Oreochromis niloticus: one gene and its partners. The main gene of each other region encodes a partner of the protein of the gene in region 2 in a complex. Links are inferred from orthologs where the notes say so. Each region holds a gene or a part of one and is shown on either strand. Other genes may lie near its edges.

What was found.
Region 1: snrnp200 (region 2) and rnf113a share a complex: the UniProt entries of both Homo sapiens proteins name them as parts of the minor spliceosome. The link is inferred for Oreochromis niloticus from reciprocal best matches to the Homo sapiens genes SNRNP200 and RNF113A.
Region 3: snrnp200 (region 2) and snrpg share a complex: the UniProt entries of both Homo sapiens proteins name them as parts of the U4/U6-U5 tri-snRNP complex. The link is inferred for Oreochromis niloticus from reciprocal best matches to the Homo sapiens genes SNRNP200 and SNRPG.

What each region holds. Positions count from the first base shown.
Region 1 is NC_031969.2:28,810,116-28,820,793, reverse strand, and holds the start of rnf113a (E3 ubiquitin-protein ligase RNF113A), read right to left. Parts: upstream 4,271-10,678; 5' UTR 4,219-4,270; coding exon 4,113-4,218; intron 3,699-4,112; coding exon 3,619-3,698; intron 1-3,618. Other genes in the region: rundc3aa (RUN domain-containing protein 3A), read left to right, coding at 5,335-5,441. UniProt on the Homo sapiens protein: Required for pre-mRNA splicing as component of the spliceosome. As a component of the minor spliceosome, involved in the splicing of U12-type introns in pre-mRNAs. E3 ubiquitin-protein ligase that catalyzes the transfer of ubiquitin onto target proteins.
Region 2 is NC_031977.2:12,273,230-12,283,800, reverse strand, and holds the start of snrnp200 (U5 small nuclear ribonucleoprotein 200 kDa helicase), read right to left. Parts: upstream 6,378-10,571; coding exon 6,333-6,377; intron 6,116-6,332; coding exon 5,952-6,115; intron 5,064-5,951; coding exon 4,892-5,063; intron 4,794-4,891; coding exon 4,601-4,793; intron 4,505-4,600; coding exon 4,449-4,504; intron 4,368-4,448; coding exon 4,269-4,367; intron 4,161-4,268; coding exon 4,008-4,160; intron 3,918-4,007; coding exon 3,818-3,917; intron 3,731-3,817; coding exon 3,594-3,730; intron 3,514-3,593; coding exon 3,436-3,513; intron 3,318-3,435; coding exon 3,144-3,317; intron 3,012-3,143; coding exon 2,874-3,011; intron 2,784-2,873; coding exon 2,628-2,783; intron 2,537-2,627; coding exon 2,366-2,536; intron 2,282-2,365; coding exon 2,088-2,281; intron 1,982-2,087; coding exon 1,858-1,981; intron 1,084-1,857; coding exon 934-1,083; intron 834-933; coding exon 591-833; intron 497-590; coding exon 308-496; intron 214-307; coding exon 16-213; and 1 more. UniProt on the Homo sapiens protein: Catalyzes the ATP-dependent unwinding of U4/U6 RNA duplices, an essential step in the assembly of a catalytically active spliceosome. Plays a role in pre-mRNA splicing as a core component of precatalytic, catalytic and postcatalytic spliceosomal complexes.
Region 3 is NC_031984.2:33,150,663-33,161,640, forward strand, and holds snrpg (small nuclear ribonucleoprotein G), read left to right. Parts: upstream 1-6,708; 5' UTR 6,709-6,836; coding exon 6,837-6,868; intron 6,869-7,050; coding exon 7,051-7,073; intron 7,074-7,724; coding exon 7,725-7,849; intron 7,850-9,566; coding exon 9,567-9,617; 3' UTR 9,618-9,812; downstream 9,813-10,978. Other genes in the region: si:ch211-148l7.4 (zinc finger protein 43), read left to right, coding at 785-2,347. UniProt on the Homo sapiens protein: Plays a role in pre-mRNA splicing as a core component of the spliceosomal U1, U2, U4 and U5 small nuclear ribonucleoproteins (snRNPs), the building blocks of the spliceosome.

The DNA.
Region 1 (10,678 bases), on a different chromosome or scaffold from region 2:
TATGAAGAGAATATCGAGGGAACAGTTTACCCTGCCCGGGATAGGGTTACCGGGGCCCCGCCCTGGAGCCAGGCCCGGGGAGGGTGCCCGAGGGCGAGCGTCTGGTGGCCGGGCCTTAGTCCATGGGGCCCGGCCGGGCACAGCCCGAAGAGGAGACATGGGCCCATCCTCCCGCAGGCCCACCACCCGCAGGAGGCGCCATAGGGGTCGGGTGCATTGTGTGCTGGGCGGCGGCCAGGAGCGGAGGCCCTGGCGGACTGATCCCCGGCTGCCAAGACTGGCAATAGGGACATGGAATGTCACCTCTCTGGTGGGGAAGGAGCCTGAGTTAGTGCGTGAGGTTGAGAGGTACCGGCTAGATATAGTCGGGCTCACCTCTACGCATGGCTTGGGCTCTGGAACCAGTCTCCTGGAGAGGGGCTGGACTCTGTCTCAGTCTGGAGTTGCCGCTGGTGAGAGGCGGCGGGCTGGGGTGGGTATTCTAATATCCCCTCGGCTTGCTGCCGGTACGTTGGGGTTTTTCCCGGTGGATGAGAGGGTTTGTTCCCTGTGCCTTAGGGTCGGGGAACGGGTCCTGACTGTCATCTGCGCTTATGCGCCGAGTGGCAGTTCAGAGTACCCAGCCTTCTTAGAGTCCCTGGGGGGGGTGCTGGAAGGTGCCCCATCTGGAGACTCTGTTGTCCTGCTGGGAGACTTCAATGCTCAAGTGGGTAACAACAGCGAGACCTGGAGGGGCGTGATTGGGAGGAACGGCCTCCCTGATCTGAATCCGAGCGGTGTTTTGTTATTGGACTTCTGTGCAAATCACAGTTTGGCCATAACGAACACCTTGTTCGAACATAAGAGTGTCCATAAGTGCACGTGGCACCAGGACGCTCTAGGCCGCAGGTCGATGATCGATTTTGTAATCGTATCACCAGACCTGCGACCATATGTTCTGGACACTCGGGTAAAGAGAGGGGCTGAGCTGTCAACTGATCACCACCTGGTGGTGAGTTGGATCAGGTGGCGGGGGAGGACGCTGGACAGACCCGGTGCACCTAAACGCGTAGTGAGGGTGTGCTGGGAACGTCTAGCAGAGGCCCCAGTCCGCGAGATCTTCAACGCACACCTCCGGCAGAGCTTCAACAGCATTCCGAGGGAGACTGGGGACATTGAGTCCGAATGGACCATGTTCAGCGTCTCCATCGCCGAAGCTGCTGCATTGAGCTGCGGCCGCAAGGTGGTTGGTGCCTGCCGTGGTGGTAATCCCCGAACCAAATGGTGGACACCAGAGGTGAAGGGAGCCACCAGGCTGAAGAAGGAGTCCTATCAGGCTTGGTTAGCCTGTGGGACTCCGGAGGCAGCCGACAGGTATCGATAGGCCAAGCGGAATGCGGCTCGGGCAGTGGCTGAAGCAAAAACTCGGGTGTGGGAGGAGTTCGGAGAGGCCATGGAAAAAGACTTTCGGACTGCCTCGAAGAGATTCTGGCAAACCGTCAGGCGTCTCAGGAGGGGAAAGCGGTGCTCTACCTGCACTGTGTATAGTGCTGGCGGAGCGCTGCTGACATCGACTGAGAAAATTGTCAGGCGGTGGAAGGAATACTTCGAGGACCTCCTTAATCCCACTGACATGTCTTCCGAGGAGGAAGCAGAGTCTGGGGATGAGGGGAATGACCCGCCAATTTCCGGGGGCGAGGTCACTGAGGCAGTTAAACAACTCCTTGGTGGCAGAGCCCCTGGTGTTGATGAGGTCCGCCCCGAGTTCCTGAAGGCTCTGGACGTTGTAGGGCTGTCCTGGTTGACACGCCTCTACAATGTTGCGTGGAGATCAGGGGCAGTACCCCTGGATTGGCAGACCGGGGTGGTGGTCCCCATCTTTAAGAAGGGAGACCGGAGGGTGTGTTCCAACTACAGGGGGATCACACTCCTCAGCCTCCCTGGGAAAGTCTATGCCAGGGTGCTGGAAAGGAGAGTTCGTCCGCTAGTCGAACCTCGGATACAGGAGGAACAATGCGGTTTTCGTCCTGGTCGCGGAACACTGGACCAGCTCTTTATCCTCTCAAGGATACTTGAGGGTGCATGGGAGTTTGCCCAACCAGTCTACATGTGTTTTGTGGACTTGGAGAAGGCATTCGACCGTGTCCCTCGGGGTGTCCTGTGGGAGGTGTTGCGGGAGTATGGGGTGTCTGGCCCATTGCTACGGGCCATTCGATCCCTATACAACCGTTGCAAGAGTTTGGTTCGCATTGCCGGCAATAAGTCGGACTCGTTCCCGGTGGGTGATGGGCTCCGCCAGGGCTGCCCTTTGTCACCGGTTCTGTTCATAATTTTTATGGACAGGATTTCTAGGCGCAGCCAAGTGGCGGAGGGCTTTCGCTTCGGTGGCCTCAGAATCTCATCTCTGCTTTTTGCGGATGATGTGGTTCTGTTGGCTTCATCAGGTGAAGGCCTTCAGCTCGCACTGGAACGGTTCGCCGCCGAGTGTGAAGCAGCGGGAATGAGGATCAGCACCTCCAAATCTGAGGCCATGGTTCTCAGCCGGAAAAGGGTGGAGTGCCCACTCCGGGTCGGGGATGAGTTCCTGCCCCAAGTGGAGGAGTTCAAGTATCTCGGGGTCTTGTTCGCGAGTGATGGGAGAAGGGAGCCGGAGATCGACAGACGGATTGGTGCTGCGGCTGCAGTGATGCGGACGCTGCACCGGTCCATCGTGGTGAAGAGGGAGCTGAGTGTAAAAGCGAAGCTCTCAATTTACCGGTCGATCTACGTCCCTACCCTCACCTATGGCCACGAGCTGTGGGTAGTGACCGAAAGAACGAGATCGCGGATACAAGCGGCAGAAATGAGCTTCCTCCGAAGGGTGGCTGGCCTCTCCCTTAGAGATAGGGTGAGAAGTTCGGCCATCCGGGAGGGGCTCAGAGTAGAGCTGCTGCTCCTCCACATCGAAAGGAGCCAGTTGAGGTGGTTCGGGCATCTGATAGGGATGCCTTCTGGGGGGCCTCCTGGGTGAGGTGTTCCGGGCATGTCCCACCGGGAGGAGGCCCCGGGGCAGACCCAGGACACGCTGGAGAGATTATATCTCTCGGCTGGCCTGGGAACGCCTTGGTGTTCCCCCGGATAAGCTGGAGGAGGTGGCTGGGGAGAGGGAGGTCTGGACTTCTCTGCTTAGGCTGCTGCCCCCGCGACCCGGCCTCGGATAAAGCGGATGAAGATGGATGGATGGATGGATGGACAAAAACAGTCACCTCTGTCTCATTTGAGGCTACTGTCATAGCAGTCTTGTCTGCAAATGTGTGTTTGCATGATTAGATTTATAAACTTTTTCAAAAATATCAGGTTTGCAAGTGTATAAAACCCTTTGTCCATATTCTAAATGTAAAAAAAAAAAAAAAAAATCTATATATGCATTAACATAACACACTTTTAAATACTTTAGTACTCTTGTGAATCTAAATGCAGATTTAGACTTTTGCAAATCTGACTATGCCAGCTGATTCTGGATACATACTTGCCATTTCCAGTGCACGTTGAGGTACACAGTGATTAAGACAGAAAAACGCAATTTTCGACAAACACATGTTAAAAAATATAAATATACAAAAATTTAAAAAATTTAAAAAAACAACAACCCATAATTACCCTCTGAATCATCGGGTTGATGCGAGTTTTTTTCTTTTCTTTTCTCACTACGAGGGTCTGGTCCTCATCACTGTTTTCATCTGAAAAGGACATGAGTGAGATACATTTGGTGAAAAAAAATCTAGTAACTTGTCTAATAACTGACAGCAGAATTGCAAAATCTTAGAATAATCTCGGAGTTAACTGGGAGGACAAGAAACAGCAGGCGCATATAGCGTTCCAAATTCCGAGGAAACGTAAACGCGGCACGAATGTGAAATTTGTTTATAACAGGAACAAAAATGTATCATCTGCGGTACTTCCTTTACATCGTTTCTCCGATTTTTGGAATCAGATGTAGTATTTTTGCCTCTTACCGTGTTAATAACACAGTGGTTATCTGTAAAGGACTACGAGAACAGAAACAAGTAGTCGATCATTAAAAAGCTCGAGCGCTGTCGACACCGGAAGTTCACTGGGCTTTAAATGATCAGAAAGTGAGTTAAATAACAAACCTTTCTCGCTATCGGTTGCTTTTCTCTTTCGCCCAGAGAATTTCCTATTAGATTTTTTAAACAGAAAAGTACAAGATCCCTCCCGAGGCTTCTCTGATTCCGCCATCTTGACTCTGTTTTGTAAATATCTGCTTTCGCCACAGCACCCTCTAGTGTCTAGGAGTCATCTTAAGTTAGTCCCTGTACTGGTCAAAAGGAGAATCACACCTACTTAGGCATTGTGAAGTTAGATTTAAAAAGGCAGCAGTGATACTTCAGTGAGAAAGTGGCTGCAATTTTTGCGAGCCAGTTAATCAAAAGTTGCTCAATGATATTTACTTATTTCATATTTAAAAATAATTCATGAGAATTTAAGTTATGTCTTGGAAATCGTTATAACTCTATGAAGTGCTGTAAAGTTTTTAGAGCTGTGCCAAAACACATTCGTCTGCCAAAAGGGGAATTTAGATACTTGTCAAAAAGTTTTAATTATTTAAACTGTTTTAAATGACTTGTTGGTCTATAATCTATCAAACATATTGCAAAAGTATCTGACCAGACACAAGGTAGAAGCTGCAGGCAGTAATTGGCTAAGTTACTCTTAGATAGTGACTTCCTTTATTTTTCCAGGTAAAAAGTCTAATTGATATTAAAAAGTCTAATTGGTGTTAAAAAATATCTTTTTATAAACATGTTTGGTCAAAGAGGGCTTTAGAAATTCAGACAAATGTAAAAGAACGGTTCTACAAAAGATATTTTAAGCAGCAAAAAAGGACTGGATTGATTATAATGCAGGACACAGAGTAGCTACAATAACGCTGAGTCGAGATACTTGCAAAAAAGGTAATTTCTTTATTTCATATTTAGCCCTTTGAAAATTCTGTTGACCCCAGCCTATCTACCAATGTAAGCCAAGATATAACACATACAAACACATAAAAACATCAGCAATCACTTTTTTTTTGCCTGACACCGGAAGACTGGAAATTCTAGTATGAATGAATCTGTGATGAAAACTGGAAGATAGTTTTATTTTGAAAGTTTTAACCGGAAGTTGCAGTGATAAATACGTGTAACTTGGTTCTAGTCGCTTAGATCCCGTCCTCCTCCTCTTCCAGCAGCGACTGTAGCAGCATCCGTGACTCCCCGCAGAGGACGGCGGGTGTTTGTAGGACTCAGGGCCCACGGAGGGAGAGGTCCTGGCCTGGGCACGAATCCCGAAGAGGCCCGGGGCCGCCGCTGGATGGAGTCGGGCTGTATTCAGACAGCAATGGCTATGGGTCTGACATCGAAAAAGGCGTCTGCTCGGAGCGTCTGCGTGGAGCGAAAAAACCTCATCACGGTCTGCAGGTATACATCACGACACCATCGACGTGCCGTATTTATCAGAAGGAGCCTGTCCTTGCAAGCTGTTCGGGTTATATTTTCACCAGTATGATCATGATCAAGGTTTGTTTTTTTTCCATCCAAGAAGCCCACCCCTGCGCTCATTCCCAAAGTGAAACAATGGCAGCAATATAAATGGAAAATATTACAGAAAAAAGGGCCACATTTCTAGAAAGGCGAGGGTTAAGGAGGGGGCAGGTGCGTGTTCACCTTCACGTACCTTCTGTCATCACACCCAGTTTGATAGAGACAGTAGACTTAAAGAAACCACTCAATTATCCAGTGTTTGTTTTTAAATGCTCGTTTACTGCTTGCGGGGCTTCTTTTTCTTTCTTTTTTTGCTATGATGTAAATCTATTAATTCTGTCTGTCGTTTAAAAGTACAGTCCCCTGCGTGTTTGTTTCTATAGCAGGAAATGCAGCTTCAAGTGATTCAAGTGATGAGTGTTGCAAAATCAATTGCAGAATAGGGATGAAGGGAAGATAAGCCAGTCAGCAGCAGGTCTCCTCCTCCATCATGGTGAGCTTCAGTGCCTGAATTGGACAAGGGCATTTGGGGCAGTGCAAGGACTCCTCCCCACATCAGGGGCCCTCCATCCTTCTCCATCCACCATCCACGCACTACAGAGATGGCCTCTGACTGATTGGCTCTAATAAATCACTGTCTTCTGCAGTGAGGTTAGCACTGTAAATGTGTGAGCTGACAGCTCACACAACGAGAGCTCTTCAGCTGCACAGTAAGTCCAGTTTTATACAATAATGTAACACCCTCCTGGTTCCAGTCTGCACATTATTACATCACGTGTGATATTTAGAGCTTTAACAGCTTCCATCCTTTTTGACCAGAGGCTCTAATTTGCATGCTTCCACATGAGACCAATGTTTATATTCATATAGAAACAATAAATATAGAAAGACTATTAAAAATAGCCCAGAAATCTTTTTTTTCTTTTCTCTTTTCTCAGCACTTCATGACCTCCTTGCATTAATTTTGTAACCTTTCAAATTAGGCATCCCTGATGTAAAAGGGACTCTGCTCATTTCACTGAAGGCTAATTAACTTTTCGACCGTGTTATCACAAGTTCTCAGAGGCCTAGGTGCTTTTTTCTCAAACGTCTTTTGCACAAATAATCATCACATCCCAAAGATAGAAAACCTAATACTGTATACATCTAGAAAAATGCCACAAATATCCACATCTCAGGTGGTTTTTTTGCCTTAAAATAACTTGAACTACCCATTTTGTAAAAAATGCTGCTGATTATTTTCCTTTGTCTGACATAACTAGGTTATAGTGACCTTATCCTACTTTAGAGTATTTGATAATTATGTGATATCCACAGACTGGCAGGAAAATGCTGCTTTGATCATGTTGTTGTGTTCTCATAAAATTTATTATAGTACTACTCCTCATCTTGAATTGCAAATTGACTATAATCATAAAAAGCGTTCACAAAAGTGGCATCCAGCGTCTAAGCTCTGCTGTATTTCTTGTAATTTATTGCACCGTAGTGCTAGAAACCACCAATCAAAACAGAAAGGGACTCCAACATGGATTCACAGTCAAGCATTTTTATTCCAGTACCTTTATATCCAAGGTCCTGCCTGCGTTTTAGTGGCATGTACAGTGAGGCAAAAACACACAACATCACAGAGAGCATGCCTGCAAAGAAAGAAAACTTCTCACAGTGGACACAGACAAGGATTAGCAGGGACACAAAAACACCTTTGTTTTCAGTTTCTCCTGGCTGTGCTAAGACAGATTTAATCATTTAAGCGTTTTAAAGACAAACAAACTGGACAAGACAGAAATAAATCTCAAACAGCTTTCCACCAGTAATGCTGACTACAACAACTTTTCTCCATTTTCTAATGAACAACATGACATTGATTAGGTTCACTTCGAGGGCAGTTTCTTCTTGGCGTGTCCGAGTTGCTGCCCGATCTCCCCGCTCATGGTGTTTTGGATCTTTACATGTTGTTCAGGTCAGAGCTGATTCACAGGCTGCTCGCTGATCGGATAATGAGGAGAGAGCCTGAATCAGCACCGTCCCTCTGGCTGTGCATTAGTGCAGGCAGGGCATCGTGTTGCACGATCCGGGATCCAGGCTCTGTCGCGGTTGTTGAGATGCAGCCATTCCCACAGCTGAGTTTGTGACATTAGTGCTTGATTAGTTCACCAGGCCAAGCTATTATTTACCCTAAGTGTGTTTGTGTGCATTTACTGCATATATAAAGTCTGCCCTCTTTTTTTTTTCTTACTGCAACATCATACATGTTTAACATACAGTCAGCACACGCAGAGATTAACATTTCTACTCCCAACAATTCCTTTAATGTGTTGGCATCAAAGTCCCGGTTAAAAGTGTGTACAGTTGATCTGGTATGATGTGGGTCACGAGTACCAGCCACAGAAATCTGACTGATCTTTGCTCGGTGTTTCAGTGTCATACCTAACAGACCAATCCTATTTTAATGAGACGTGCTGTATCTACAGAGAAAAGAATGGACAAAAAAAGAATAACAACAGAGAAAAATAATAAGAGATGGCTATTCTAAATAGTAAGTAAGAAGAATGCTCCTTCTTTTTAGGTTAGGGGGACTTTTGAATTGCCAGACATCCCAAAAAGTATCTGAAAACCCAAAAATCTTTTTAGGGCCACGTTGAGACTTGATATTTATGACATCCACAGTGGTATCAGTATCATACTGAGCTGGACTGTTGTCAGTAGCAACAGGGTTCATCTAAATGTGGCTTTTTGCAGCAAGTGGAGGACATTCGTGCAACTCTCGGATTAACGTTGTTTATCTGAGCTCAGTTTGACAAAACGTTTGGGGATCAGAGGAAGCAAACCAACCAGCTTGTGTTGGTTTGTTTTTAAGGGCGCTTTCCATCCATTAATGTTTAAAATTGAATGTTTTGCTGCTTTTTTTAGTCTGGCTAAGAGCTCTCTTGCTGCGGTCCGTGACAGGAGAAACGGTGCTGCTGTGGACATGGTGAACCTGAGAAAAAAATAGATAAGATGAGTGAGACAAGTCTGATGTAAAGAGGTATCCATGCAGCCGCTTCCTGTAAACAAAGAGAGCTGGGAGAGAGGCAAGAAGGGAGGGCGATGTGCTGCATGTTGGCTGAGCTCTGAGGCCTTCCGGGGCGTGGCTCAAGAGAAGAGAATAAAATGTTCTGGACTGTAGTAAAGCACGCCTGTTAGACGTGCTTCGGCAAGAGAGTCAACGAATATTTGAAGCTGCGTGTGCAGATGGAGTAACACTAATTTTAATCGTTCAGCTTCTGTGCAGCCTTCTTTTGCATTTTTCCTGATTTCTGAACCTACGCTTTTTTCTTTCTTTTTTTTTTTTACCAACACCATCAAGTATTTGAAATTACAGCAGAAATGTCTAAAAGTTTGGCTGAACACTTGGATGCCACTCATCAGCTGATCTGTCTACCCCTCTCACTGTTAACTTCTCCTGTTATTCCTCATTTTTACCCCTCTGTCATACTCAAATATCTGATTCACACTCTCGGTGCTTCTGTGCTCAACACCCTCACTGTCCGTCGTACGCCGTGATCCCTCTACACCTCCTCTGACCATGAAACACTTCCTGGACACTTGGTCACAGAGGGGATCGGTGAAAGAGAGACACACCCTGCTGTAGTTGTTTTTTTTGTGTGTGGTTTTTGTTTTACTTTTTTTTTGTCATTGAGGATTTGGCCCAAATTGTGATTTGAAATATTCTTCAGAGCACAAAGCCTTTTCTTTCTCATGCCAGTCCAGTGCAGGACGCCTCCCCCGACAGTCCACGATGATAAACAGCACTGGCTGGCGTTGTGCAATGCTTCGGCCAGTGAGGAGTTCACCTGTGTCATCTGATCCTGCTGGTTATGCCAAGGCTAGAAGACAGAGACAGAAATAAGAAGACAGAGAAAGAGAAAGTAGTCAGGGAAATGCTTGTGAGGGAAAAGAAACAAAAATGAAAGTCAAGAGAGTTAATGTGAAGCTTTGTGTGTTTAGGTTAGATGTCTTCGCTGATGAATGCAGTTTTGGTTATCCCGTGTCGTGCTGCGGATCAAACGCAAGTTTGTAAGTACAGTAGAGGGGTGAGAAAGGAGAACAAGAGGGCATTTAACAAGAGCTGAGAGTGGGCTTGGCATTGATCCAGGCTGAGAGGTTGCACAAAAGAAGCTTGTCAGAAGGCCCTGCAGTTGTTTTTCAGTGTCAAATCGTACCAAGAACATGTTGCTATTCCACTCCATCCATTTGCATTTGAAGCATGCCAGAGATTCCCTTTAGATCAAAGGACTTCAGTTCATTTACAATCATCTGCTATAATGTTCCTGTTAAGATAACGTTGCTCTCGCATTATTAGGTCAAACAGGATTTTTGCAGTTGTTGATATTTTGTTGTTATGATTTTAATTGCTGTAACTTTTGCTAATGAGAAGCTGTTACATGTTGGTTCGTATACTGAGCGCCCAGACCCACTGCTTGGGTTTCCATGGCATCTAGGCTCTGCACAGTGAGAAAAGATTTGATGTGATGCATTTTTCTGACTTGGAAGCATCACAAAGAGGGATTGTACTGTGAATCTGATTTACTGTTCACTCATTATCTCAAATTTCAGACAGATTAGTACATTTCTAATTTTCTTCCTGAAGGGATCCCATCAGGAAGAGAACTTCCTGGTGGGATCCCTTTAGACAACATCAGGTAGTATGAAGCCGATTATTTTGTGAAGCTGTCACCCCCGGTCCCAACACACAATATTTGTGCTTATTTGGCAATACCCACCAAGTGGATTTTTTTTATTTAGCAAAGCCAGTTTTAGCTGCCCAGCTGAAGTAGAGAACACACTTGAAGAGATCCAGCCTAGCATTCTGGAGCTCTGTTATCCATTAATCTGCTGATCTACATGGCTTTCAAAACATTTTATCAGACAAAATTCAGATGCCACTAACCTGTTTCTTTGATAAATCCAAAATGACCCGACAAAGTCAAGGCTCGAAAAGTAAATTTAATCCAGTTTTTGCTCTCAGTGCCGATGCCGTCGTGTTATCCATATGTTCTCTCTGATGATTCTTATTTTGAGTCAGTCCCCCCACCCCGTGATGCCGTCTTCTCTCATCTAGAGCGTCTTGCGTTTGGGGAAGATGGCTTTCCGAAAAGAGGTGGTGGTGGTACCTCTGCTGAAGGACGCACTGC
Region 2 (10,571 bases):
CTGAGACTTGCATACCTGGAAGCTGCCGGTCCTCTTGTCATATTTGATGAGGCTGTTCTTGTCCAGGATGTTGGCTGCTGTGTGCACCAAGTCCATCCTGCGCCGCTCCAGCAGGGGGTCTGTACTTCGGTCGTCGTGAGAAACACCATACAGGGTGGGGTTGCGAAGCATGCGCACATAGAGATACGTGTAGCCAAGCCAGTTCACAGCATCCTAATGGCAAATTTGAGAAATCGAAACTTAAAGAAACGAGGAAAATTTGATCCTTCTGTCTTAAATAGCTGCATGTACATTTCAGGTCACTAACCTTTACATTCTGCACATTTCCCAGTACTATCTCTGCATTGAGCATGTCAGCCAGCTTGCCCACCATCTGACTCTCAATGGGCAGCTGCTGGTTCAGCAGGGACAGATAATACTGCAGCTCTCCGTGGGACGTGATCAGGATTCCCTCTCCTTTGGTGTCATACTGAGGACGGCCAGCTCGACCAAGCATCTGGAATCAAACACATTTTCAATAAATAGAGTTAGTAAAGCTACAAACTAAAGCAGACCTTACTATGTTTGGTAACAAGAAAGGATGGGCTGACCTGTAAAATGTCCAGGGCACCCAGTTCAGTCCATCTGCCTTTCTCTGGGCTGTACACTTGTGTCCCTTTGATGATGACAGTATGTGCAGGCAAATTGACACCCCAAGCCAAAGTAGCTGTAGACACCAGAACCTGGATGTGTCGATCGGCAAACAAATCCTCCACCAGCGTACGGTCGACTCTGGTCATACCAGCGTGGTGGATTGCAAAGCCGTATGGGAGCAAATCCTTCAGCTCTAGGTTCTGCATAAGAAGGTTAAATTTAGCATTCAGTTGTGGTATTAAAAGCATTTACCACACAAGAGTTTTAAAAAATGTTTCCAGTTTAATGACATTTGCTCACCTTGCACTGCTCCGCCTCAGTTCTCAACACTTCAGTAGATGCAGAACCCTCTCGGAGGAAAAGACCCAGAGTGTCCTTCTCCAGGCACATGTCCCTTATGGCCCTGGCAGTTTTCCCAGTCTCCTTCCTGGAATGGACAAACACTAGAACCTGTTGGGAGGAAAAAAGTAAGGCTTTCAGATTTGGTAACGCAGTGCTGTAGATTTTTCAGAGAAACAACACTGAAGTAAGAAGTTACATTCAAAAACTCAGCCCTGTGAGTTCCCTGTGTATAAACACACAAGAGCACGTACACACTGGAAAGGTCTGCATGGACACAGGGTTGACAGGAGGCCCGGGTTTAGAGGGACCTCGACCCTCCAGCTCTGGGAGCCACAGAGGAGAGTTACAGAGAGTAGTAACCTGCAGGTTTATCTATGGAAACCTGGACATTTATTTCCTCTTGATATTTTGTTGGGCTTCGCCTCTTTCCTTTATGTTGATATTAACAGTGAGTGAACTGTCGCTTTTTAGGGATCAAATTATAACATAAGCCACATAGTAACAACAATGAAAGCAGCACAATGTCAAATATCTTGTTTTTCACTGGAGGGCAAAAATGATAAAAAACCAATAACAGGAGTTGTGGTTTTCTTGCAGAAGAGGATTATATGATCGAGGCGAAGTGCAGACTGTGACTGAGAAAACAGTGTTAGGAGTCCCCGGTTTCAAAAATCTCATTTTGTGCTTATCCAGCAAAAATACATAAATAAATAAATGAATAGGAAAAAAAAATAGAAGAGGTGTCTAATTAAAATGTCATTAGCATTTACACAGCTCAGCTGGCAGTAAAACATATTTTAGCAGACACATCTTAGATAACGCTAGGCTAATTCAGGTCACCGAATTATATCACTTTGGAAGAACAAGTCAAACAGGACTCACCTGGTTCTTTCCAGCATGCTCCATAATCTTTTCATAGACAATCTCATTCATGATCTGGAAACGCTTGATGGCCTTCTTCTCTGTGATACCAACATAAGTCTGCTCCAGGGGCACGGGACGGAAACTACAGAGAAAAGCCGTACAGCAATAAGCAATAAGGAAGAGCAAACAAACAGCTGTTCATAGAAATCATCATAAAAACGTCTTTTTTTTTTGCTTAAGCAGCACACCTGTTGTCAAAGTAGAAGAGCCCTTTGGCAGGATCAACACGCAGGCAGGTAGCCACGTCTTCATAGTTTGGCAGTGTGGCACTGAGGCCCAGCAGGCGCACATCCTCCTGGGTCAGCTCCACGTTGCGGATGGTCCTCGCCACCAGAGATTCCAGCACAGGACCACGGTCATCGTGCAACAGATGGATTTCATCCTGAACACCCACATTAAATTATTCATCATTAAAAGTCAAGTCAACTGGCACATTTGCTTTTTAGTGACAAAACTGTGCACTTACTATGATAATGAGGCGCACTAGCTGGGTGTAGGTACGTTCACCACCTTTACGAGTGATGATGTCCCATTTCTCTGGGGTGCAGACAATGATCTGAGTGGCGTTAATCTCCTCTTTACAGAGCTGGTGGTCTCCCGTCAGCTCGGACACTATGATGCCATAACTTGCCAAACGCTGGGAAAAGGAGGAAAAAGGTTTTCAGATTTGTGCTCCCTGATGGTTGTCAAGTATGCAAAGAAAGCTGTGCAGGACAGACGAGGCTCACCTTACTAAAACTTCCCACCATCTCCTGTACTAGAGAGCGCATGGGGGCTATGTAGATGATTTTGAAGTCGTCCACATTAATTGTTCCATCAATGTTGATGTGCTTTCCAATTTCTCTCAGCATTGCCATCAGAGCGACATTGGTCTTACCGGCTCCCTGTGTGCACAACAAACACAAACTCATAAGAGAAAATCCAGCTGGGGGAAAGTATTGAAATGCTTTCTGGCTTTAACAAAGCGTGCTCACCGTTGGAGCACACACTAGCAGGTTCTCATCTGTCTCCATGGTGGTCTTGAACAGCTTGCTCTGAATGCGATTCAGGGTTTTAAAGCCTTCAAATCCAGCCTGGGCGTACTTGGGCAACTTCTCAATGGGAACAAGTACCTGATGACACAAAATAGTGCTGACTGTAGGACCTGAACACAGTTATATGCTACTTATTACTATTATTTTTTCCTTAGCTGCTGCACATTTGGACAATTAAAATGTTCCCATGAAGAAACATAACTGACAAACCTCATCTTCAGCAAAGGGTTTAGGTTTGAGGGCAGGTACGTGGACTTCTTCATAGCCCTTGCGCTGTTTACGAAAAGAGCCGTCTGGCAGCTGGCAACGCTTGTTGGCCATGAAATGGCTCCCCTGACTGAAAGCCAGGTCGTCAAGGTCTAGCAGCTGTCGAGGGGTCACTGACTGTCAGACAGAAAGGACAATTTTCCTATGCAGTTTAGAAATGTGTAAAAGAAAACTCACAACAAGTAGTGTTCCTGACAGGATGATTTGTAGTTAATATATTGAAAGTGTTATATACCTCTCCATGGTCTATGTCCATTGCTTCCAAGTCATCGACACGGGACTTCCTCACTCTCTCCCTGCGAGACCGCTCTTCCTAAAGGACGTAAAAATAAATAATGTGACAAACTGAGCCTCACAAAGAGTTCACATAATCTCACAATCAAGCCTCCTTACTCGAATAATATCCTCCTTCTCCGTCTCTTGCAACTGGTAGAGAATCTTTGACAGCTCCTGATCAGACTCCATCTTTCCTATGATGCGCTCCTTTTCCGCCTCACTCTGAGCACTTGCCAGCATGGTACAGTACTGAACTGTGTGTCAAGGGAGAAGAGAAAGAAATCAGTACCTTTTCAAAGACATTAGCTCTGTAACAGTTTCACTCAACAAAGCAGACTTACTCATGCGACGATGCTGACGCAGGATTTTAATGAAATCAAAGGTGTTAAAGCCGAGGAGCAACACCAGCTGGTTCTCACACTCTCTGTCGTCGCTGGCAGTCTGTAAAATAAGAGACGAGAGAATGATGTTGACAAATACAAACTTACCTGCTCTAAACAAACAAAAACACAGGGAACGTCACAAACCTACCTTGAGGATTTCTAAGACCTCATCTGCCTTTTTTTGTGAGACGATGGCGTCATCATAGAACCGGCTGAGCTGACGCTGGAGCCAAAAGGCGTCGATGTCTCGAGGATGTAAATCTTTTTTCTTCACTGTCATCACGTCACCCGCACCACCGAGCTAAGTGAAAGGTAATTTATTAGTTACTGTGCAGCACAGTTGCAATATCTCACAAAGACTAAACACAAATATGGGCTTAATAGAGTAATGCCACGAATGGAAACTTACATTAGCTGAGAGAGTGGAATCCACAGCTGCCTCCACTCCTTCACTGTCTTCATCGGAGTGTTCATCTCGTACCTCGCCATACTGGTCTTCATCAACTTCCTGTATGTTAAGACAGGAAAAGTCAGTGACACAAACTAATCAATCAGCTCAGCTGTAAATCTTAAGAGCTACAAGCCTCACCTCCTCATCAGACTCAAACTGAACATTGACACCATACGTTTCATCAATGTTGTCATCTGTGGATAAAAAATACCACACATAATGAATATTTTTAGAGAAAACTGATGGATCCTGTACAGTTTTCATTCAACAGTTACTCTGAATGTGCCTACCCATATTCTGCAAGTCTTTGTCCCCCCCATAGTCTGTGATCTTTTTGCCCAGATTGACTAAGACGTGGTAGCGCGTGTCATCAGCAGGTCCGAGAAGCTGCTCTACTTCCCGTCGCCTCTCTTTGTCTCTCATTTTGTCATTCTTGAGCACAGCCAGAACTTCATCAGCTGCTCCACAGAGAATATCACGCGGCTGTAAAAACGTAATGAGATAATGAGTAAAACATGCAAGATGTAGCGGAAACAGAAGCAGAATACTTCAAGAAAGCAGCTGTTGTGGCGTTCACTGACCTGATCTCCCAAAGCAGCATGGATGAAGCTCAGTAACACCTCATATGTTTCTCTGGTCTCTTTGGTTTTTGGTTTGTACACAATGCCCACCATCTCATCAATGCCTTCAGACAGAAGGGTAAAGCCCTTCATTTTGTTAATGTCGTGTCTGTCTTCATCCCTTTTTCTTCTCCTGGATAAAAAATAAAAAAAAATAAAAGATGATATGTTAACAGTAGAGCCATGTTTGGCCATTTGAGTGGCAAACATCTTCCAAGGCATGTCACATATGTTCACTTTTTCTTTTTTTCTTGAGAATTGCCTTGAAGAGACATCAAACTTGACAGCTGTTCTTCCCCATACTTTTATTTTCAGTTTTTCAAAATTAAGTTATCACGTGGAACTAATGAAGTGATTTTTAATACCGGATTATTTTGTTCTTTTTTTAAATCAACCGGTTTTGCCTTCAAACCATAGATTCGACGAGTTAAAGCCTATATTTCTCAGAGAGTTGGGGCCACACTGACATGACAGCATCGCACAGTAGCTGCAGATTTGACAACTGCACGTCATCCATAATGCAAATCTCCTGTTCCTCCACATCCCAGAGGTGCTCTATTGGACTGACATGTTTAAGAAACCAGTTTAAGACTATTTGAGCTTTGTGACATAGTGCGTTATCCTGCTATAAACAGCTGTCAGATGAGGGGTACACTGGAATCATAATGGGATGCTTAAACAAAAAGATCCCCTACACTATTAGACCACCAGCAGTCTATCCTGCCTTCTTGCATTCATGTTGCTTATCCCAAATACTACCATCCATTTATGTTGTGCATTCAGAGATGCTTTTCTGCATACTCAGACATGATCAAAGTCAACCCACCTTTCTTGTTCATTCTGATATGCAGATTGACCATGCCTAAATGCTTAAATGCACTGAGTTGCTGGCATGTAATTAGCTATTGCACATTTGCATTAATGACAAGGGGAACAGGAACATCAGAGTGGCCGGTAGTGTATATAAATTATGTATTGCTTTAAGTTCACATGAACAATATATGTAGCTGTCTGCACTGACTTTTCTCGTCTCTCCTCCAGCCTCTGAGGTTTGGTCCTCTGGGCCTTGTCACCCATCTTGGTCCCCTCCAGCTTCCCGACCAAGGACAACACCTCACCGGTGGGCTCATCTCTCCGGGTGCGGTCGATCAGAGAGCGATCGGCTTGAAGCACCAAGTTAGAGTTCTAAGAGTTCGGCATAAAAACAGTGTGATGATGAGACAGTACATCAGTCTGCGCTGCAACAGGCTGAAGTAAATGCTAGTTAGCAGTACGGCTAGCTAAACAAGGATAAATATCAATTAATAACAGTACACACCAAACACTTTTCCTGATAACTTTACAGAATAACAATCCCTGCCTCTGATTTTTTATTTTTTTGTCTCACTCTAAACACACTCACCGCTTTGTACTCGTACTGCAAGCTTCGAGCAGTAACATCCGCCATGGTGCTGGTTTTCCCTCAGGTTTTAGCGCACTTTGTGAAACGGCTAACTGACTGTTAATATCCACAGAGTCGACCTCACTCTGCCTGCTTAAAGAGACGCTGTGAACATGAGTGCACTGATTACACTTGTAGCATTAGCCAGTTTTCGAAAAGTCCGAGTTTCATACAACAAAATGCGTTTCGCATACGTTACAATAGCGCCGCTAACACGAGCGCACAACAAGCCGCGCTTTTCCTCTTCCGCTGTCAAAGGTCAGAGCAGGATCATCGATGCAAAGGAGCAGCGCCCCCTACAGGTTGGATTTATTTAGTTTCAATGTCCTATTGTTATGTCAATGTATTCATGGGTATATAAACTTATGTAAACTCGCCAAATCTCCTCTGCTAGCGGCTTATTCTGCTACTGACTCTTTTTTTTAGCTTCTGGTACCCCAGAATCAGGTGTTGACAATTAGACCCTGATTAGCAGCACCTGTGAGCATGGACCCTGTTACAGCGGTCAGTTGGTGTCTGCTCCAAGCATGGCACATTTGACTGATCTGGATAGGGCCTGTGCCATAGAGCAACTTTAAGCTGGTGTCCCAGTTGTAGCATTATCTGGAGTGAGCCCTTGTACCATCTCCAAATTGAAGGCCAAGTTCCATATAATGGAGCATGTCAGAGACAGGCAAAGAAATGGGCATCTGAAGAAGACAACGGCACAAGACAATTTTGTTGTAGCACTTAGGAACTGTTGGCGCTATTCTTTAGATTTGCAGTCATGGTTTGCAGGACAATATGGTTGACAACACTTTACCCAGAAAATCAGAAGACAGGCAATCTCTGGTCTCATAGTGCTGCCAGGAGGATGCCATGACTGCCCTTCACCGTCAGGCCTGTTGTCAGCGACACGTGGAGGAATGTTCTCTTCAGCGATGAGTCCAGATTCTGCCTATGCCACTTGGATCATAAATTTAAAGAGAATGCTATGCTCATTTCTGCACCATAGCGTAACAGACCTATCATCATAGAGGCAATCATCATAGAGATATTAAGATGAGATTACGCAACCAGTGGCAATCCCATATCTCCACAGTCTGGGATCAAACTCTATCCTCCAAGATGACAACCCATGCCATTATCAGAGATTGCCTCGAGAATTTGGGAGTGGAGAGGATGGAATGGCCTGCCTGCAGTCCTGATATCAGCCCCATTGAACACTTGTGGGATCAGCTTTGGGTGCTCTCTTCATGCCAAAATGACCAACACAACCACAATCGCCTAACTTGCAACAGATGCTGGTTGAAGAATGAGACACCATCCCACAACAGAGTACATTGTTTGGCACTGGCGGAGAAGATTTGGCAAGTTTTTCATGGGTGCAACCCACATGCTCAACTCTGATGCTCAACCCACAAATACATTTTCCTTACAAATGTGGCACCATTTAAGGAGAAATAAACAGGCCTTCTACTGATATGAGTTATTGCTAAGACGCATTGTAACAACAAAGAGACAAACACACTTTTTGTGCTAACTTCATTATATTGTCTATCATGCTTACATTATGTAAAATTGGAATAATTTCATAAGAACAACAAAACTTGCCATCCTGTAGTGTCTTCAGGACTTACACAGCAGCCATGTAGTGTTAATACTACTAAAAATAATGCCCCTGTCACTATCACTACTAAAACTAAAAGTAATTATTATTATTATTACTGCTATTGTGTATCAGATACAGTATGCTGATTTACCATAGTAGACATCTGTACCATCACTTGCACAGTATAGTACTACTTAATGTAATAGCCCATTGATAAATACCATACTACTGTACATGCTGAAAGTCTGCATAAAGTTATCTGTGGAATCACTATACCAGCCAAACTTAGCTGTAGACCAATCTGCAGATGAGACACTTTCCTGTGGCACTGGCTGATGTTTATTTGTTTGGTCACATCAATTTGGCAGTGGCTAAGTGTTCAATGACAGTGACAAGGAGCCAACAGACTTTTAAACAGACAAGGCAGTTTTATTAAATTAAAACTTCTTTGTTTCCCTGGCACAAAATAGGGGAAAGGAAATTATAAAAAAAATGTGATTGATTCATATCAGTATTTGCTTTCACTAAATTGTTTCTTTAAACATCATAGATTACATATATTATAGATCCAGGATTGGGACATCTCTAGTCCTGTGTGTTATGCTGTATTTCATTTTTATTCACAGAGGGCAACACAGCGTGTAGCTCCACAAATAGGGGGCAAGTGAGGGTGGCTGTGGTTCAGGAATTAGAGCAGGGCAACTGCCGGATCGATTCCCTGCCTCCTCCAGTCTGCATGTCAAAGCATCCTTGGGCAAGATACTGAACCCTGAGTTCCCCCTTATGCATCCATCAGAGAGCAAGTGTGTGAACAAATTTCACAATGGATAAGTCCATGTTTGATTTGGGATTTGTGTCTACTTCTCATCTAAAAAAATTGAAAACGAAGCTACAACAAAAATTAGAGACTGTTCATAAATGAACAAACTTACAAATTCAGGAGAGGATCACATAATTATTTCCCCCATGTACATTATCTTCTAAGCTGCATGACGAGCTGATGCAAGATAAAGCTTTGAACCCCACACAGGAGACACCACTGTAAAGAGTGGGGTTAAAGTGTGGATGTCCTTTGGGTTCACTCCACTCTAAAGAGTAGTCGTTCTGCACCTTGGGGCGGTGGCTTAAGAGTTGGGAGTTCGCCTTGTAATCGGAAGGTTGCCGGTTCGAGCCCTGGCTTGGACAGTCTCGGTCGTTGTGTCGTTGGGCAAGACACTTCACCCGTTGCCTACTGGTGGTGGTCAGAGGGCCCGGTGGCGCCAGTGTCCGGCAGCCTCGCCTCTGTCAGTGCGCCCCAGGGTGGCTGTGGCTACAATGCAGCTTGCCATCACCAGTGTGTGCGCGAATGGGTGGATGACTGGTTGTGTAAAGCGCTATACAAATACAGGCCATTTTACCATTTACCTTGAACAGTGTGAGATCAATTATTTCTTGGTGTAAATAAACGTCAGATTTATGAAGTGCAAAAAGAAGCATGTACAAGAACTTTTCTTCAGGAACTCATATGTTAGTCTTTGACTGTCATTTTGATCTAAATTAAAATTGCTAAATGAGAAAGATGAGCCTCATTGTGGACAATATAAGCTGCACTGTGAACTCTATGATTAGCAGCGTGGGCCACAGTCTGTGAGCTACAACATCCAAAATTTAATATTTAAAAATATAAAAAAATTACAATTCCGTGTAGGTATGACAATGATTAATGAAGAGCTGTCCAGGTTGGATTTTCAGGTACCTCTGAGGTTATTATCATCCCACATAACATTTTTTTCCATCAACCACCAATATTCTTCTAAAATCTGTTTTTATACATGACATACATGCATTTTAACTGTACAGCCACATATTTGTAAAGCTTTTAGTGCCCTAATACAATTTTTTTTAAACACACTGTTCAGTTTTTGATGAAAAAAAATAAGCTGTTTTTTTAAAAGATTCTCTCTTCTTTTTTTTTTTGCTGATTTCACTACTTTTCCCTGAAGCACTTGACTCATTTGCCAATAAAAGCATTTATTCAACTGTTATGTACATGTTAGTCATAAACATGTGTTTTGGTATGATGTAATAATGGTGTGTGATTCATATCGGGTAAACGAGTGCTTTGAAAATGTGTGGTAAATGGGTTGCACTTACACAGCTCTCACACCCAGATGGCAGCAGTGAGAGCAGTTGTCTTTCTCCACGACACGTTGACTTGTCAGACAACTCTATCACAGTCCCCTCAAACACCTAAGTTCCCAATATATGTATATCATTTTGCTGTGTATGAGAATATTCCACAGTTATGGATGTAAAAAGGGTAGTGAGTGGATGTCTCATATGTGCTTATGTGTCCATTCAATGTAAGTTGTTATCTTGACCCAACACGAGCTGCAAGGATCAAACAGGATTTATTGTAGAAAGTGTGTGAAAAGAAAAGGAGTAAGATGAACTTGACTTTAGTTTCACTGTTGTTGTTTTTTACTGGAAAGTACTTTGGTCAACCATGTTGTTTTTAAAGTGCTCTATAAATAAAGTTGGATTGGATTGTTGTCTTTAAAGAGGAGAGTACTGTATGTTCCTGTTTGTGGCCCCATATAACTTCCATTGCCTTTGCACATCTGGCTACA
Region 3 (10,978 bases), on a different chromosome or scaffold from region 2:
GCGTTAATTTAAAAAAAAAAAATTAATACATTGTTTTGGTTTAAAAGTCCTTTTTATTGTAACTAGCAAGACTGTAAATGGGTTAGATAAGAGAGAGGAGAAGCATCATTTTAGGTGCATACCTACAGTCACTGTGCATACCTGAGAATTCAGAAGCTGCAAAGTGGGTAAGTGACGTTCCGGAAGTGATCCGGACCCAGTGCTAAGAAAACTTCGCTTTCACGTTAGCAGTCATGCCAGTGTGGTTTGTGCTAAAGAATTCCATTAATAATGCAACGCACTGTTTGAATCTATTCACTCGTCAATACAGCCGCTGCACTACTCCTGTCTGAGTGCCAAGGTAAGCTAGTTAACAAGCGCAAGTGTGCATTTCTTACGTGTTAGCGGGGCTAGCAGCGAGCTAATCTTAGCAAACACGAAGCTATCCCGTGGTCGCATCTCTGTTGTTGTAAGGTTTACTGTGGTAGAAGCTCAGACTTATCACTAAACTGATACCTATGGTCTCAGTCTGTGTTGTCCAAATAGAATAGAAGAATAAAACCTAGCGACCAGTAATTCAGAATGTCAACAAAAAAAGAGGAACAAGTTAAAAAGAAGGCACGTTTCCCCTCATCCTATCAGAGCTTGGCTAGCTGTTGACTGCAGGCGTGGTGCCATTTAGCGTACAACCAAAACACTTCTCAGTGCCTCAACCTTTTAGCTCTTGTGTCTGAGTGAATTAAAGGCTAGCTGCTCAAACCTCTTGTGTCTCCATTAAAGCCAGGAGAAAGCTTGGTGAAGGAGGATGGATGGAGTCAGCTGGAGCACTGCAAGGTCCCAGGAGTCATTCGGTCGCTCCAGCTCAGCCGCAGACACTCTGTCAAGGCTTGCCACCTTTATCGCAAAGGCAGAGACAAAACAGCACACACGAACCCAGAGGCAGCGTCCGCCCCAGCAGCCCACCTATCTGTGTCAAGAATGTGGTAACGCCTTTCCTTATGCCACAGATCTGTTACAACACCAGGAAGTTGAACACACACTGCCCAAGCCTCACCGGTGCCCTTCGTGTGGCCAGGAGTTCTCCCTGAGGTCATCCTTACAGCTACACAAGTGCGAGTCCACCCGCTGCGAGCTTTGTCATGGGATGTCACTTTTTGGTTCCCCCTGCTCTACATGCACGACTCACACTTCTGATCCTGGCAGGTCGCTGGACAAGCCACTTCACCGCCAGCCTCATCACATGGACCGCAGCCCATATGCGTGTGCCCCATGTGGGAGAGGTTTCAGCCAGAAGCAGGCTCTGCTGCAGCACCAACAGGCCGGCTGCAATGAGCTGCCATCCCTGTCTGATATAGCTGATGCCAGCACACTCCCTGATGACTCTTCACCTGTTTCTGAGGGGGATTCCATTCGCTCTGATTCTTCAGATACTCCAGGGCCCAGTGGCCAAGCTATCAACACGTGCCAACTCTGCTCAAGAATCTTCCACTCAGAGGCTGCACTGCAACGCCATAAACAGGCCAACCACTCAGAGGATGAGCAAAAGGCCACCGATGGGGAAGTGAGGAAAAGAAGGAGTGCTAAGGTAAATGAGGAGCCAAGCAAGAGTTCAAAATCTCAAAAAAAGCTGCTGAGCTGCCGCTCCTGTGACATGGTTTTCAGGAGCACCTCTAAACTGTACGTGCACAGAAAAGAAAAGCACAGTAGAGAGAAGAATGTCAGGAGAGAGCCGAGGCCAGTTGTCATCAAGCGGAGGAAAGCAGGCACGTATCCCTGTCAGGTCTGCGGAAAAGTCTTTGTCCACCATTTATCGCTTAGGGCACACTACAGACAGCATACAGCCTTGAGCTTGGCGGCTATCAAAAACAAAAGCAAGACTATAGGATGTACCACCAAAGACTCCTCCAAACTATCAGAAAACAGACCAAATAAAGCCAAAACCAGCCTCGCTGAGATTAAGACAGTCAGGGCTGGCCCAGGGAGACCCAGGAAAGTCACTCGACGGTTGACCAAGATAGGTGTTTCAGGGAGATCCACAGAAGTGCCTGAAGCTCAGGAGGAGGAGGTGGAGAGAGATTTCCCGTGCCCCTCCTGTGCAGAGGTTTTCTCTCTGCAGCAACAGCTGAAGGAGCACATGGAGCTCCACCAAACCTCCATGAAGAGGAGACAGTGCAGCGTGTGCACCACCGAGATGGACACGTGCAAATGGCCAGGCTCCAGGAGGCAGAGGCTGTACCACTGCGTGCCCTGCCAGCAGGGGTTCTCTGCACTTGACTCTTTCCTAGAACACTGTCAAGAGCACCTGCGAGTCAGGGTGGAGGAGGACAGCTTGACAGAGGGCTACACGCATCAAGCCGGCAAAGCCTGACGTGTCAGTGTGAATGTCGTCAGCAACCCGCCTTTTTGCCTTGAAGGGTTACACAAAGAGGAGTGATGAAATCTCTGTGAAATTCTTGTTGAGTCACGAGTTCACTGATTGAGCATTCAGAATATGTTGCTTTTGTACCCAAGCTCGGGCTTTGTTATCCAAACCATATCAACAGTTAAAAAGAATGTCTTATTGAGCTTTTATTTAGCCCTTTAACATGAATTTTATTTTCTCCTGCAAGACACATTGAAAAGCACAGTGTGAATATCAGTTTGTCTAAGATCCATCACATCAGCCTTTAAAGGGAGGTTTAATCAGTGTTTGTACATCTGAGAACAGGACATCTTCTCAGATGCGTCTTGCAGAGCAGCTATGCATTAATAAGTTTCATTGTAGTGAAATGCAACAAAGAAGAAATACACAGAATATGTGTTTAGCAGCAGCCTTTAAGATGAGCCTCGGCTTTATTACGGCAATATTGATGATATGAAATTGAACATAAAGCTAACATTTTTACTGTGAAGGACTGTTGTTGTCTGCAAATTTTCACTCTAATACATTGAAAACTATAGAAGCCAGAACAGTTTGATTATGATTCATTTGATCCACTCAAAGTATTCAAACCTTTATACCCAGGAATCCCTCTTTCAGACCAGTGGTTGTCTGTGTATCCACTTTTATACAACTCTGTGATATAAAAACTTGTAAAGACTAGGTAAATTCCACAAATTGTCTGCTTTTTTTTTTTTTAATTAAGAATGGTAGCTTATGATCCTGGAAGATAGTCTCACCACTTGGCAACAACTGGGCTGGTTTAATTCCAGCCAGATACACAAAACCCCTTTGGGGTTGTGTTAGGGAGGCCATAAAAAGAGCATAAAACTCTGCCAGTCAAACATGTGGAGTCACCCACTGTGGCGATCCCTTGTGAGAAGGGAGCAGCTGAAAATGGCTGTTACTACGGTGAAGATCAGCTGTGTAAAGGTTCCTGGACCTTGGATAACCTTCGCAGTGCTTAGAGTTTGGGCTGTTCATTTCAAATCAACCCCATTTTCCAAAAACACGTTGGGATTAGCTCGCATGCTCAAAGTGGGGCTAAGCTTATCTTTGCCTCAGGGTTTGTTTTGTTTTTTTGTTTTTTTTTGTTCTTTTGAGAAATTAGGCCGTCTGCTCAACTGTGGTACATTCTGGCCAGAACACTGCCTGACAAATTGTTTGCTACTTGTCTAGTTTTTGTTATGTTTTCTGCTGTATTTTCTTACAAATTTGGCAATAATTATTCATCGATTGTGGTGTCTGATTTTGTCGTGTTGTCAGTCTTGTGTGTCAAACCTGAGTGTTAGCAGCACTACTTAGAGCACTGGGTGGAAGTTTATTTCTTTGCTCGAGAGATAAAATGCAGTCCCAGGGTCTGCATGAGATTGTAGTGTGTAACATTGTTTGTTTACATGCTGTTTCCCAATATTTTTATCATGGAAGAAAGATTGCAGTAAACTATACAGTGAGCAAACTTGGCTTTCATGGATAACTTTACCCAAAACAATGCCTTTCATAATGGCCCTGCTTTTTAGCTTGCATGAGCTCGGGTCGTATTTTCTAACTATGCAAACAGATGGACTGACGGCAGCCCTTCAGTGTGTCTGCGATGCTCAATAAGTGCGCTTTGGTGAATGAACTTAAATCAACATGAATTTTTTGTTTTGTTTTTCTAAAGTATTTTCAACTACTGTTTTCAAAATGCGACTGTGAACATGTAGAAGATATGTTTCTAGGTTTCGAAGTTTCTACTTTGCTGAGGTCTTTTGTAAATTGGTGTGTATGGCTCTTTGCAGATGACAAATAAAATTTAACAGTTGTCAGATGTTTTCTTTGCATCACTGCTGCTGTTCTGATTCTGTGAAATTTTAGTGATTTAATTGAAGTTTTTCATACTGTGGATCTGAGAAGTTTGTTCCAGAGCAGCTAAACCGCAGTTTCAAACTGACTGCGTGCTCTACCGCAGCTATACAGCAGAGTTAATGGGTAACTGTTGAAATTAGCAAGAGGAAATGTATGTACATTTATTTTTAATGACTTTTAGCTAGTTTCTAGGTTCAGATAATATAAATTATTATTGAAGTTGCAGGTCGCAGCTAAAAGCTCTTCCATTTGTATTCTGAACATAGTCAACAGTGTAACAACTAATGGCCATGAATCTTACACATTTCTCTTAAAGCAGGAACAATAAAATAGTGTTATAAAATGCAATAATGTACACTGGATTCATTATTAAAACAATAAATTACACTAATATGATTTTCCTCAAATTATTAAATGTGCAGTAAATATACTGTTTATTCGGTTGTTAGCTTTGACAATGAATTCATATTAATTATTGGCATAACTAACTATTAATTTTAAAGTTACAAAAACTTTTTCACACAAAGCTGGTGTAGTTTTTTTCAAACAAAAACTACACCAGCAGCTGAACCTCAAATAATAGCCAAACACATAGTTAGATCTTTGGTATGGATAGTGGATATCCCATTGTGTTTGTCAACAAATAATAGTTCTCATTGGGCCCACCTGGGGCCCGTTCTTCGTACCTCGCTTACTACATCCAAGATCAAATGACACATCCAAGATCAAATCATCGCGCTAACCTTGAGCTCGCTAATCCGGTTCTCCGAACACACCTGTTGTTGACGATCAGTATAGCTGGATGAAGTAATGCGAGATCACTGGGTGTCTCAAAAGGGGCTACGCATCGATAGTAGAAACATTGATCGGCAACCCTTTGATTGGTCGGCGAAGATGTCGAAGGCGCGCGCTCAGTATTTTACGGCAGCAGAGCAAGAACTCTTGATTGAGGGATATCAGGAGTTTCAGAGTTTAATTAAAACGCAAGGGAACACCGCAAAGGCTGCAAAAGCAAGGAGAGAGGGCTGGCAGAAAGTTGCTGACAAATTAAACTCGTAAATAATTTATTATATCATATTACATTATATCCTCTTTCACATTAGAGCCACAACAGGACCCACTAGAACATGGGGACAAGTAAAAGTGAAATATAAGAATATTCTACAGAATGGTAATAGTTATCACTTATATTGCTTTTAGTCTCTTGAAAAGAGACCCTGAAATAATCTGTTTGTTTGTTTATAACAGCAACCAAGAAAAGGGCAGAGCAAATAAAGACAGGTGGTGGTCCTGCACCCCCTCGTGTGTGTGTGTGTGTGTGTGTGTGTGTGTGTGTGTATATATATATATACACATATATATATATATATATATATATATACACATATATGTATACATATGTATACATATATATATATATATATATATATATATATACATATACATATACATATATGTATACATATATGTATACATATGTATATAGGGAGAGAGAGAGAGAGAGAGAGAGGAAGGACAGGACGGATCCTGTCAATCCCGCAATATACGCTGAATTCTGGAAACTCTCCTTATCAATCTTGCACCTTCCGCAATGGGTTGCTCGCGTACAAACAGACAGGACATGGCTGCGACAGACTTCCCAAATCCACCTTCGCTTTTATAGCCGTGGTCTCTCATCTTGATTACACGAAGTAATTTACTATTACTACTCTAAAATACGAATTACATCTGAAATAATCAAATACGTGTAATAGAATGATTACTAGTACATTTCCCTTTTTCTTAGGAAATGACCTGTATGTATCTGTATGCAATCAGTAAAAGAATCAACTACTGCATTATCTTTAGTTACATTGATAATATTTATTTATGGAGAAACAGTGGTGAAATATCGCTGTTGCTTTCGTGTACATGCAGCGGACATACCTGAGTGGCCGCGATCTAATCCTGTTTACATAAAGTAAACCTGCTCCCGAGCAGGTTTACGCTTACGGATCTGTTGCTATGACAGCAAGTCCCAGATGAGCTTCGGAGAACCGAACGATCCAAGATCACGCGAAATCGTCAACAATCAAATCCGGCTAACTTACTTAGCGAGGTACGAAGAACGGTCCCCTGGTCTTATAGCAAAAAAACCAAAACAACTGCTCATCCACTGGATTTTCCTCACCCACCCATAAACGAGGTTTTACAAAGAATGGTCTAAAAAAGAGAAAACATCCAGTAAGTGAAAAAAAAAAATTCTCTGGGTGAAAATGCTTTGTTGTCGTGCTTCATCAGGCCAGACTGTAACAGTAACTCAAATTACCACTTGTTACAACCAAGGTATGCAGAACAGCATCTCTGAATACACAACATATTTGCATTTAAATAAATGATTTGAATATTTCTTCCACTAATATATATAATTCAAAGCTAGCCGGCTCTCCTTCCTCCTGTTCTCATGGCGGCGCTGTGAGGAAAAAGCAGAAGGTCCAGTATGAGAGTTCACCAATGAAGTTCCGGTTGTCGGCGCACGCTTTCCTTCCGCGGTTTCGTGAAACGAAAAGAGTGCGAACGAGTTCTTCGACTTTCAGAAAATACAGATAAAATGAGCAAAGCACACCCACCCGAGCTGAAGAAGTAAGTCAGTGATCTTTGATAAATAAACGCGCACTGGTTATTTTGTACCTGTTTCTTGTTTCCCGCATAGCAGCTCTGGTACATTGTTTGTAATAGCCACAAGCTAACATTAGCTAGGCTGCCAGACCGACTTGTGAAGAAACTGTGACCATGTAACCGATGCTGATGGTTTTCTTTTCCAGGTTCATGGACAAGAAGCTTTCATGTGAGTATGACTCCAAGCACAGATTCAAAAGCACCCAGAATGTTAAGAGTGAATCTGTTCCTGTGTTTCGTTGTTTTTAAGCAACAGCATGAAATATCAAAACATAGTTATTGAATAATTTCAGTAATTACCTTTCAGTTTTCACCTGGTACACAAAGCCTTCTTCGATGACCTCTGCTCACTGTTTGTACAGGATCTCATAACAAAGGGTAGACATGTAGTGCAGGCAGCACACATGGGGGGACATTTATTTTAATACGCGCAGCGTGTTGTGTTGCTGGGAAGTACTGCTAGAAATGCAGATGTTGATATATTGTATAACTTGCACAGGTCTTATCATCCCTACTGACTTTCATTGACAGTATACTATAATTGTGAGATGTCTTTATGGTCTTTAAAAGTTTGAAATTAAGCTTGTTGTAACCCTCGGTTACAACACTGGGTAAGTCAAGTACCTTTCACAGATGTGGACTCAAAAGTTAGGTTATGTGATAGCATAAATATATGGATGTCTTACTTTGCTGTATGTAAATATTCGTGGTAGTATGTGGGCAATCTAAACTTTGAGTTTGAAGATGGATCAGTCCCAAAAATAAATAAACTGAGCAGTTTGTGAAATTCTTCATATTGATTTCTTTTCTCTCCTTTCAGTAAAGTTGAATGGAGGCAGACACGTACAGGGCATCCTGCGTGGGTTCGACCCTTTTATGAACCTGGTGGTGGATGACTGTCTGGAGATGGGCCCTGGAGGACAGCAGAACACCATTGGCATGGTGGTCAGTAAATTTGTCTTTCTTAATTTTTGGTATTGTCACCAAAGAAAATTTGTGCGCCTAATATAAGCACAGCAATTTTTATCTTCCAGCAGTCTGCTCTCCTCTCAACTACAGCCCGTATATTTACCAGAGAGTTCTGGTTATGATGGTGTCAGACTTCATATTTGCCACAGTCTAAACACACAGTAAAGAGCTCTCATTAACAGCCCAATCTTTCCTGGTAGGGGGCGATCATAGCTCAAGAGTTGGCAGTTCGTCTTGTAATCGGAAGGTTGCCGGTTCGAGCCCCGGCTCCGGCAGTCTCGGTCATTGTGTCCTTGGGCAAGACACTTCACCCGTTGCCTACTGGTGGTGGTCAGAGGGCCTGGTGGCGCCAGTGTCCAGCAGCCTCGCCTCTGTCAGTGCGCCCCAGGGCAGCTGTGGCTACAATGTAGCTTGCCATCACCAGTGTGTGAATGGGTGGATGACTGAATGTAGTGTAAAGCGCTTTGGGGTCCATAGGGACTAAGTAAAGCGCTATACAAATACAGGCCATTTATATTAATAAAATTTATATTTTGCACATGAAACCTTTGCATTTTTGTCACACTCTGTTTCAGCAAAAAAAAAAAAAAAAGCAAAAAAAGAAATCTGCACAATCGTCACAAAATAAAATAAATATTTTGTGCCTGATTAAAGCTCTGCTTTTCCATCATGTTAGTAATTTCCATCCACCATTTGCAAAGAGAATTGGTGGAGTCATTTCTGTACATTTTGGTTGCATATCATGTGCTATTAGTATTTCGTCCTTTGTAACATTAACCATGACCTGAACAGCGTCAGATTGTTATGCTTGTTTTATACTTGAGCAGTAGTAGCATGAACGCAGTTCCTGGGCAATCACAGTCTGCCTGCAGAGAGTGTTTGTTGTTGATGGAGTGTAACAAATATGTATTACAACCTGTGTGTGGGCCACACTTGCATGTGCTGTTGTTGTTCCAAGTATAAAGTTCTCAATTGTTCTCAAGTTGAAGTGAACAGTGTTTTCAAAAACAACGAAAAGTGTCCACTGCAGTCACACTCTGTACTTTTCATGCTGTATTTTTTTCCCTTTCATATTTGTGTCATACCATTTCCCGCTGAACTCCACAATCGCGCCCTCCCCTGTTCTGGCCCACTTGTCAACCAATGAGCTATTGACCGACACATGTGTCATCAACATCCAGTGACATGCTGTTGGGGCTGTTTGGTGGACTGCACGATAGCACACTTGTGGAATTGTGTACACAGACCATACATTATTTATTAGTTATACCTGCATCTGCTGCTGTTTGCTCCACGAAATCATTTTCATTTATTTCAAAATCATTCTGTGTTTGAAGCAGGAATTATACCGTCACCGAGTCCAGTAGGGTCCACTCAGGTCCCACTGATATAAATTTCATCATGAGATGGTTAGGGCAGTTTGTGCCTGCCTGCTTTTTGTAATGTTTACTTACTTTATAATGCACTAAGTAAACATTCTCCCCAGCCCATGAACTACAAACAACAGGAATGAGTGCTCAGCTGTTCAGTATAATTTAGGTTTAAAATGTCAAGAAAAGCGGTTTGCTTTACCTTCTATAAACAAGATACTAAATTCTGTTTAGATTTGGAGAGCTCAGTGCTTTATTTAAAACCTTTAGGACATTTGTCATGATGGCAGTGTGTTTACTCTGTGTGGTATTGTTTCTCACAGGTCATCAGGGGAAACAGCATCATCATGCTCGAGGCCTTGGAGAGAGTATGAGAGTGGAGGAGGCACCTGAAGAAAATGATCCCTACATTTTGTTTTTTTGTTTTGTTTTTTTACATTATTGTCCCTTTCTTGTTCCTCAGTAAAGAGACAAAGCATTTGTATTTGAATTGTGAGATGATAGATACGGTCTTTTTGTTTGGACTTTTAAAATGTGTGACCTTGTGAATAAATCAGTTTTCTTTGTAATTGGTTTTCTGCATTCAGTTTATATCACATTACCACAATACAAGTTACTGTTCTGTTACTGTCAACGTGTTACTATAGCAACAGGCAGAAGAAGCTGCACACTAAATATGATGGTAATGTTTCCTGAGTGTCTTATACACTTCCACAGAGACTCTCTCCACTGGATTAAATTGTGACTGGAGGTCGGCGCAACAAAAAAAAAAAAAAAAAGAGTCCAGCTGGACTGATATAAAATACTGTGCAACCCCCTTATTTCTTCTCATTTTCCACACTAAGAGACAGATTTTCTTGGAAATTTTAAGTGGTTTTTAAGTAGTTCTCTAGGCCTTCTGAAGCTCTTCAAAAGCTAAAAGTTTTTCTTTGGAGATTGGCTGCTGCTGAGCTCATTTATACCTGCCTGCTTTTAAAAAAAGAGAGGAGAAAACCAAATCCATCTTGAATTTAGGTATGCACTTAGTCACTACCTTTAAAAAAAAAAATTTAATTTCTTCCTGCTGCTTCAGAATCTACAAAGATAATAGCCTAACAGATGTAAGAGTGTTTTTTTTCACCAATGACGTGATTCCCAAAGAGCTGTTAACTGAATATTTGACATAAGATTGTGTCAAGTGTGTGCTTAAAAATTTGGGGGGAAAAACAAACAAGTGAAGGATTAAAGGAGTGGCAGGCCTAAAATGCTACAGCAGGCAAACTGTATCTGAATGTCATGTCCTTAAGAAATACGAGAAAAATCCAGCAGAGATCTGGTACAGGCCCTTTACTGACCCATTTACTGTTCACCAAAGACTCGTTAGAAGTGGTCTGAGTGGAAGGGTGGCTGTCAACAAGTCATCCTTAAGGAAGCGAAACAGGTCATGGTGACAGAGAATGGAACAAAAAGCAGTAAACATCTCCTTTAAGAGAACTACTAAAGACTACATGAAGAAATGACTAAAATTATGCTCATCCAATTTTGTTATTTAAAATAAAGTGATGACAAATATATAAAGTGGGTGTATTGTTTTAGACGTGTTTCTAATGCAGGACATGATCGAAATAAAACTTTTTGTTGTATGTACATACACAAAAACATGTCATTCCTTTTCAGTAGCAAGTCTCCCAGACTGCAGCAGCCTACAAATGCCTCTGGATACTGTTGTCCTTTATATGTCAGCAGCACATAAAAA